Linked DNA regions of Macaca fascicularis. The protein of the gene in region 1 binds, or shares a complex with, the protein of each later gene. Links are inferred from orthologs where the notes say so. Each region holds a gene or a part of one and is shown on either strand. Other genes may lie near its edges.

Evidence for each region.
Region 2: the proteins of PDHA1 (region 1) and PDHB are in contact, whole or in part, in a crystal structure (PDB 3EXE), measured with the Homo sapiens proteins. The link is inferred for Macaca fascicularis from reciprocal best matches to the Homo sapiens genes PDHA1 and PDHB. Residues at the interface, in NP_000275.1 of Homo sapiens: Ile87, Arg88, Gly89, Phe90, Glu137, Leu138, Thr139, Gly140, Gly148, Lys149, Gly150, Gly151, Met153, His154, Asn164, Gly165, Ile166, Val167, Gly197, Ala198, Asn200, Gln201, Gln203, Gly228, Met229, Gly230, Thr231, Arg235, Ala236, Asp296; in NP_000916.2 of Homo sapiens: Glu59, Gln62, Tyr63, Ala66, Asp84, Pro86, Ile87, Ser88, Glu89, Met111, Phe115, Gln118, Ala152, Gly153, Val154, Ala155, Ala156, Gln157, His158, Pro297, Val323, Arg324, Val325, Thr326, Gly327, Ala328, Asp329, Val330, Met332, Pro333.

The regions. Positions count from the first base shown.
Region 1 is NC_088395.1:19,221,781-19,225,505, forward strand, and holds part of PDHA1 (pyruvate dehydrogenase E1 component subunit alpha, somatic form, mitochondrial), read left to right. Parts: intron 1-437; coding exon 438-530; intron 531-1,610; coding exon 1,611-1,766; intron 1,767-1,939; coding exon 1,940-2,011; intron 2,012-3,725. UniProt on the Homo sapiens protein: The pyruvate dehydrogenase complex catalyzes the overall conversion of pyruvate to acetyl-CoA and CO(2), and thereby links the glycolytic pathway to the tricarboxylic cycle.
Region 2 is NC_088376.1:121,524,191-121,528,693, reverse strand, and holds the start of PDHB (pyruvate dehydrogenase E1 component subunit beta, mitochondrial), read left to right. Parts: upstream 1-1,554; 5' UTR 1,555-1,587; coding exon 1,588-1,629; intron 1,630-1,712; coding exon 1,713-1,766; intron 1,767-3,380; coding exon 3,381-3,488; intron 3,489-3,571; coding exon 3,572-3,634; intron 3,635-3,736; coding exon 3,737-3,772; intron 3,773-4,403; coding exon 4,404-4,503. UniProt on the Homo sapiens protein: The pyruvate dehydrogenase complex catalyzes the overall conversion of pyruvate to acetyl-CoA and CO(2), and thereby links the glycolytic pathway to the tricarboxylic cycle.

The DNA.
Region 1 (3,725 bases):
ATTCTCCTGCCTCAGCCTCCTAAGTAGCTGGGACTACAGTTAAGCGCCACCGTGCCCAGCCATTTTTTGTATTTTTAGTAGAGGCAGGGTTTCACCATCTTGTCCAGGATGGTCTCGATCTCTTGACCTCATGATCTGCCCAAAGTGCTGGGATTACAGGCGTGAGCCACCATGCCCGGCCACGTTTTATTTTTTAACTCTTGAATGCAGAAATGTTATTGCTTACTGGTTAAAATAGAACATAGTATTTATATATTACTTTACTGCTTCATTGAAAATATCGGGGGTGGGATAAACAGAGAGATGGGGTTGGAAGGAGAGTTTGTAGCAGCAGTGTAATTTCTGTGCCAGATTCTGACCAGGAGTTAAAATGCAGGGCATTGATATCTCCCCTCATGGATTTCTATGGTTCCTTTCTCGGTTGTCCTTAATGTTAGGTGCCCCTGGGCGCTGGGATTGCTCTAGCCTGTAAGTATAATGGAAAAGATGAGGTCTGCCTGACTTTATATGGCGATGGTGCTGCTAACCAGGTAATTATGTCTCTTAACTTTCCAATAACGGTCTTATTTTCAAAGTGTTTAATATTCACAGTTGAATTTCCAAAGCAGCAGCTTATTGCTTATTAGGTGAAATAGTAATTCCTATGGCTAGCTCAAATTTGGTTGACTTATGGCCAGATTAGAGAGTGACCTTTTAGCATTGTTTCACAAAAGACTTAGGGGGGCGCATTCCTGTGAAGGAGCTCACCTTTGCTCTATATCAGTGCTTGATAAAGGACCTCCCCTAACCTATTGCAAAATGATACAGACCCATTCTCTTGGATGTCCGCGCTGGCAGTGTCAAATTCGGGTAATAGCGTCTCAGTCCTAATTCAGTTTTTGTGCTTCTTTTTGTGCTTCTTTTGGTACCGAGTAATACCCAGTCTGTGGCCGGTACTCTGTGAAGCCCTGTTCTAGAGGCTGATTCTTAGGTGCTGGTTCACTCTGACTATCCAGTGGGCCCGATAGATTTCATACTGATCTTTTTTCCAGTGTGTTCCTTACTGCTAGCATGGCCCCAAAGAAACAAGTAGTAGTTGGTTTGTCATCTTTCTTAGTTGCAAGAGTATGATGCCTGCTGCTTCTTATCTGTCACCCACCCCGCTTTCCCTCACCATCCAAAGCTCGGTTTTTTGGTTGTTTTTTTTGTTTTGTTTTTGAGAGAGAGTCTTGCTCTGTTGCCCAGGCTGGAGCGCAGTGGCACGATCTCCACTCACTGCAAGCTCTGCCTCCCGGGTTCACGCCATTCTCCTGCCTCAGCCTCCCAAGTAGCTGGGACTACAGGCGCCTGCCACCATGCCCGGCTACTTTGTATTTTTAGTAGAGACGGGGTTTCACCGTGTTAGCCAGGACGGTCTTGATCTGCTGACCTCGTGATCCACCCTCCTCGGCCTCCCAAAGTGCTGGGATTACATGGCTGAGCCACCGTGCCCAGCCCAAAGCTCGGTTTTAGAAGAGGAGGCTTTCTGTGCTTTATGAAAGCTTTCTGTGCCAGGCAGAGCAGCAGCTGTTACAGATGATGGATCCTAGAGAAAGAAGCCAAATGAAACCCCTTTTCATAACTACTTCCAGGGCCAGATATTTGAAGCTTACAACATGGCAGCTTTGTGGAAATTACCTTGTATTTTCATCTGTGAGAATAATCGCTATGGAATGGGAACATCTGTTGAGAGAGCAGCAGCCAGCACTGATTACTACAAGAGAGGCGATTTCATTCCTGGGCTGAGAGTAAGGACACCTGTGGTGGGGCCGGGGCCAAGGCCAGGGGTATGTCCTTGTGCAGACCCTTGACAATCTTAGAAACATTGAAGAGTTTCGTTCTCAAACATAAGCAGGTGATGTGAAAGTAAAATGGTTTGGGGCAGCTGGATTCATGCTTCGCCCCTCCCGTTTATTAACAGGTGGATGGAATGGATATCTTGTGCGTCCGAGAGGCGACAAGGTTTGCTGCCGCCTATTGTAGATCTGGGAAGGTAAGACTCTAAAGGCCTCTGGGCTAATGACATTTATCTCTGGAAGTTCAAAGACTGCCTCCCGTGTGCCTGCTGAAGCTGTTAGTGGGTAGCTGATAATTGAGGTGCACAAGATGGAAGCAGAGTGAAGCAAGCAGGGCTCCTTTGGGTAGCTTGGTCTTGGTAGCTCACCTGCTGGGAAGCCCACATTTCTCTCATTTGGGGGAAGTCTGTCCTGGTGCTTCCTCTGCTTTCGCCTGTCTTCATCATGACAACTACACTGCCTTTTTGTTAGGTTAATTCTGTCCCTCCTCCCCACCCCCCATTAATCATGAGTCCCTTGAAGGAACAGATTGGGGATCCCCGTAGTGTCCAGCATAGAATGTCATGTATACAATAGGCATTTAATGTGTGTGTCTTACACAAACAGTATGGTTGAAGCTTGTAATCTTAGTCTTGCTCAGTCCTAAGGATCTTTCCCTTCAGTGTATGGCAGTGAGGGAGATGGTAACAGGGAGACTGGCCTAAAGAGGTTTCAGTTCCTTCAGCACTAGTATAGGCTTAGGAGGTTTGGGTGTTCTCCCTAAATTAGTGTTCCACAGCCCAGACACAAGGTTTCTGAAGTTGTCACTTCAGTGCCATACCATGTATGTTTGGGCAGTGATGCAAATGTCAGAAAGTGGGGAGACAGGGAAGTAAGGGTGGGATGTAGTAACATTAAATAAGAGCTAATGAGTAGAATGAACTAGAGCAGGACCAAGATGACAGCTTGGATACAATGGGCTGAGCAGTCTGTCAGGACCCTAAGGCTGGGAGTGCCAGGCCCTGAGTGATGGATATTGACCCCACCTCTCCCAATTCCTGAAAAGAATACATGCGGGCCAGCCCTGGCTGGAGACATGGTGATTTGTAGAATGTATGACTTCCCAAACACATAACCTTCACAATTCTGAGTTAGGTGTTACTGTTTTGCCCATTTTGCAGACAAGGAAACTGAGCCACAGAGCAGTTAAAGGTACATAGCTACTCTTATCATGGAGCCAGCTCCCCACTCGCCCGTTTTAACTACTGCACCAAACCAATCAAGGATCCTCAATGTTTCCCCATCCCTCAGTGTTCAGAGCCATCTCCTGGAAGTGGGCTAGTGTAGAATGAGCAAGCCACTTGGTGATAGACCCCAAGTGGTCATACTCCCAGCAGAGCCTCAGGGTTTGGGTAGCAGAGGTTGTTGGTGCCTGTCAACTTTGTTACACACTAGCAGGATCTGTGAAGTAGAAGTGGCTGCCAGCCCCACAACACACTACGAGAAAGGAGCATGAGATGGAAATCTGCCTAGCCAATAGCAGGAGGCTCTAGAACATGCTCAAAGCCTTTTTTTTTTTTTTTTTTTTTTTTTGAGACAGAGTCTCGCTCTGTCCCCCAGGCTGGAGTGCAGTGGTGCAATCTCGGCTCACTGCAAGCTCCGCCTCCCGGGTTCATGCCATTCTCCTGCCTCAGCCTCTCGAGTAGCTGGGACTACAGGCGCCCGCCACCGCGCCCGGCTAATTTTTTTTTGTATTTTAAGTAGAGACGGGGTTTCACCGTGTTAGTCAGGATGGTCTTGATCTCCTGACCTTGTGATCCGCCCGCTGCTGGGATTACAGGCGTGAGCCACCGCACCCAGCTGCCTTTTTTTTTTCACAGGGTCTTGCATGGTGGCACACTCACAGCTCACTGCAGCCTTGACCTTCCAGAC
Region 2 (4,503 bases), on another chromosome or scaffold:
CACTTTGGGAGGCTGAGGCAGGTGGATCACTTGAGGTCGAGAGTTCAACACCAGCCTGGCCAACATAGTGAAAACTCATCTCTACTAAAAATAAAAAAATTAGCCGGGCATGGTGGCAGGTGCCTGTAATCCCAGCTACTCAGGAGGCTGAAGCAGGAGAATAACTTGAACCTGGGAGGCAGAGGTTGCAGTGAGCTGAGATGGCGCGACTGCACTTCAGCCTGGGTGACAGTGAGAGACTCCATCTCAAAAAACAAAAATAGACTCTTACTTCCCCAGCTCCTCGCAATTACACTGCCCCAGGCTCCTCCCTTGTCCCATCTATCCATCCAACAACGACAAAAATCCAAAATTTTCCTCAGCTCTTCCCTAGCACTTACAGCATTCCTATTGATTCTAGCCCAAATAGAACTCAAAACTGTCCCCCTCCTCTCCATCTGGAAGTTGCCTCCTAGTCTGACTCTGTCGCCACCACAGACTTCCCAGCATCCGCCTGCTATGCCTTTGCCTCCACCCCTTCCCATTCCCAGTCAGCAACCTACTGATCAATTAGGGATGGCCCTAGATGCACTACTGCACTGGGTCCCAGAGACCTTAGATTATAAACCCAGACTCCTCATCACAGCCCACAAAACCCTAATTTGGAAGTTGCAAATTCCTAATTTGGCAGCCTGCAGCTGTGATCCACAGAAGGGAATGTTTGGAATGTCTCGGGGATGGGTGGAGACTGGGTCTCCAATTGTCCCATCTGACCCCCAAGGGCCAAACTAAGACTAATGAGCTTCCAGAGGTTGTCCCTATGGTCAAGTGTTAGGCATCTCCCCATAGGGCCTTCTCTAAAGTTGTTGTAACCTTCCCCCAAACAGGACCCCAACCTCTGCTTCAGGAAGCAGTGGGAAAAGACCATGCTTTAGAGTTAGTCCTAAATATCGGCTCATTTAATCAATTTCTGCTCCAGTTTACCCATCTTCAAAATGGAGATAATAATAACACTAATTACCCAAGTGGGGTACTGTGAGAATGAGCTATAAGGCACAGATCTCAATGCTTGGCTCACAGTAGGTGGTTAATGCAATCAATGAAAGCTGTGGTCTGCATTATAAGGAATTAACAGACAGCACTGTCCAGGGAAGACTAGGCTCACTCATAAAGTGTGAAGTTCCCCATCACTACAGCGTGTGCAAGCACTTCTTGGTGCCCAAAGGATTCCAGTACCCAAAACAGGTTGGCCTAACTCTTAAGGTCTCTCCAGCTTCCAGAGATCATGCTCCTCAGTGTCTGACTTTTAGTCCCCACGCTTCAAGTAACACCGACCAGGCACGTGTGCCCAGCGTGCACCCCGCAAGTCGGTCACCGCCTACTGTCAATAAAGTTGATTTGAGGCGGCTCCAGGCAGAGGGGCAGTGCCACCCATACAACCACCTCCGCCCGGCCCCGCGGCCCCTCACCCGGTGGGCGTGGGGGGGGGGGCCGAGTCACGCAGGCGCCGCGCCTTGCCATTGGCCCGCGCCGGGGGAGGCGGGGCTTTCTTACGTCTGCCAGCCCCTCTGTGTTGTCATTTGGCAGCGGATAGAGGACACGATCAAGATGGCGGCGGTATCTGGCTTGGTGCGGAGACCCCTTCGAGAGGTAGGCAGCAGCGCGCGGCCTGTATTCCCACGCCACCCGTGTCCACCCTGCGTCCCGCCATCATCTTCCTCTTTCCCTGCCAGGTCTCCGGGCTGCTGAAGAGGCGCTTTCACTGGACCGCCCCGGCTGCGCTGCAGGTAACAGGCGCGGGCGCTTGTCGGACGAGGGCGGGGAGGGGCCCTCTTCTCTCGGGAAGGGGGCCGGAGTCGCGCCTGCGCCGTGGCCGGCCGGCGCCGTGGGCCTGGTTTGCGGAGCCAGCATCCTCCCTGGAGCTCCTGCTGCCTCTGTCGCCGCCTGGCGCTTATCACCCCGGCGAGTCACTACCTCACAGCTGGCTGGGCAATGGGGGAAAACTAAGATTAGGCGTTTCTTCCCTCACTTCATGTTTTTTTTCCTTTAAATTGCAGCAAAATAGACCTAACTTAAAATGTACTTTTTAGAAGTGTATAATTCAGTGGCATTAAGTACATTCACCATGTTGTACAACCATTAACCACCATCCATTTCCAGAACTTTTTAATCATCCTAAACAGAAACTGTCCGTTACTCGGTAACTCCTCATTTCCCTTAACCAAAGCCGTGGTAACCCCTGTTGTACTTTTCTGTCTCTATGAGGTTACCTATTCTAGAATTTTATATAAGTGGCATAATTTGTCCTTTTGTGTCTGGCTTATCTGAGCGTAATGTCCTCAGGGTTCATCCATGTTGTAGCATGCGTCAGAGTTTGATTCCTTCCTAAGGCTGAATAATATATATATGTATGTATTTTTGAGATAGTCTCGCTCTGTCACTCAGGCTGGAGTGCAGTGGCGCGATCTGAGCTCACTGCAACCTCCACCTCCGGGGCTCAAGGGATTCTCGCGCCTCACACTCCTGAGTAGCTGTGATTACAGGCGGGCGCCACCACACCTGGCTGATTTTTGTATTTTTAGTAGAGACAGGGTCTCACCATATTGCCCAGGCTGGTCTTGAACTCCTGGCCTCAAGTGATGTGCCTGCCTTGGCCTCCCAAAGTTCTAGGATTACAAGCATGAGCCACCTCGCCTAGCCCCACATTTTCTTGTTTTTGTTTGTTTGAGACGGAGTTTTGCTCTTGTTATCCAGGCTGGAGTGCAATGGCACTATCTCGGCTCGCTGCAACCTCCGCCTCCTGGGTTCAAGCAGTTCTGCCTTAGCCTCCTGAGTAGCTGGGATTACAGGCGCCCGCCACCACACCCGGCTAATTTTTTTATTTTTAGTGGAGGCCAGGTTTCACCACGTTGATCCAAACCTGCCTTGGCTTCCCAAAGTGCTGGGATTACAGGTGTGAGCCACCGTGCCTGGCCTTGTTTTGTCTATTGTGAATAATGCTGCTGTGAACATTGATGTGCAAGTATATGCTTGAATCCCTGCTTTCAGTTATTTGGGGCATATACATAGAAGTGGAATTGATGGATTGTATGTTAATTCTCCTCTCCTTCCTTTTTTTTAAAACTATATTTTACCATTCATTATATTAAAATAGCAACTCCTACATTCTGGATGCAAAGTGTTTGGCACCTAGTGAGTGCTCAGTACACTAACACATACAGTCAAAGACCAACTATGTGTGATAGAAATGTTACTTTTAGAATCCTTTGAGTTTTTAAAGAGAAACTTGTTCTAGTGTTTTTATATTGTATGCTCTGGGCAGCCTAGGTAAATATAAAGGAAGAAAATCTTAGTTGAATCTCAAACAATTCTTATTGACTGTTTTTGCATACCTGTGACAGGTGACAGTTCGTGATGCTATAAATCAGGGTATGGATGAGGAGCTGGAAAGAGATGAGAAGGTATTTCTGCTTGGAGAAGAAGTTGCCCAGTACGATGGGGCATACAAGGTAACTAAAATATGTGAAAGTTATACAAAATTGAGGTCACTGTTACCCCCAGATACACTTAAGGGATCAAATCTTAATTGTAGGTTAGTCGAGGGCTGTGGAAGAAATATGGAGACAAGAGGATTATTGACACTCCCATATCAGAGGTAAGCCTTCCAGGGGGAAGCAGACCCTAGAGGGCATGTCTGTTAGTGTCCACTGTCTTCATTTTTATGGATTTTCACTTATGTTTATATTTTACTTTATAGATGGGCTTTGCTGGAATTGCTGTAGGTGCAGCTATGGTATGTAATACTCTTTATGGGAAGCTTATCCAAAGACATTTCTTGTTTTCTTTTGAGACGGAGTCTCACTCTGTCGCCCAGCCTGGAGTGCACTGGCATGATCTCAGCTTCCAGGTTCAAGCGATTCTCCTGCCTCGGCCTCCATAGTGACTGGGATTACAGGTCGTGCCACCACGCCCGGCTAATTTTTGTGTTTTTAGTAGAGATGGGGTTCTACCATGTTGGCCAGGCTGGTCTCGAACTCCTGGCCTCAAGTGATCTGCCCACCTTGGCCTCCCAAAGTGCTGGGATTACAGGCGTGAGCCACTGTGCCCATCCCCAAAGATATTTAACATCACCTTTTAAAAACATTTGGGAAAAAAACAAAACAATTCCAAGTAGGTAGATGTGGTGGTGCTTGCCTGTAGTCCCAGCTACTCTGCATGCTGAGGCAGGAGGATTACTTGAGCCTAGGAGTTACAGGCTGCAGTGAGCTATGATGTGCGCCACTGCACTCCAGCCTGGGTGACAGTGAAACCCTGTTTATAAAAAATAAAAACATTATTTGAATGTTGGAAGACTTGGAGTGATTGTTTGCTAGTCTTTATTGCTGTTTCTAGTCTTTTTAACATCCACATTTTTGATTTTACAGGCTGGGTTGCGGCCCATTTGTGAATTTATGACCTTCAATTTCTCCATGCAAGCCATTGACCAGGTTATAAACTCAGCTGCCAAGACCTACTACATGTCTG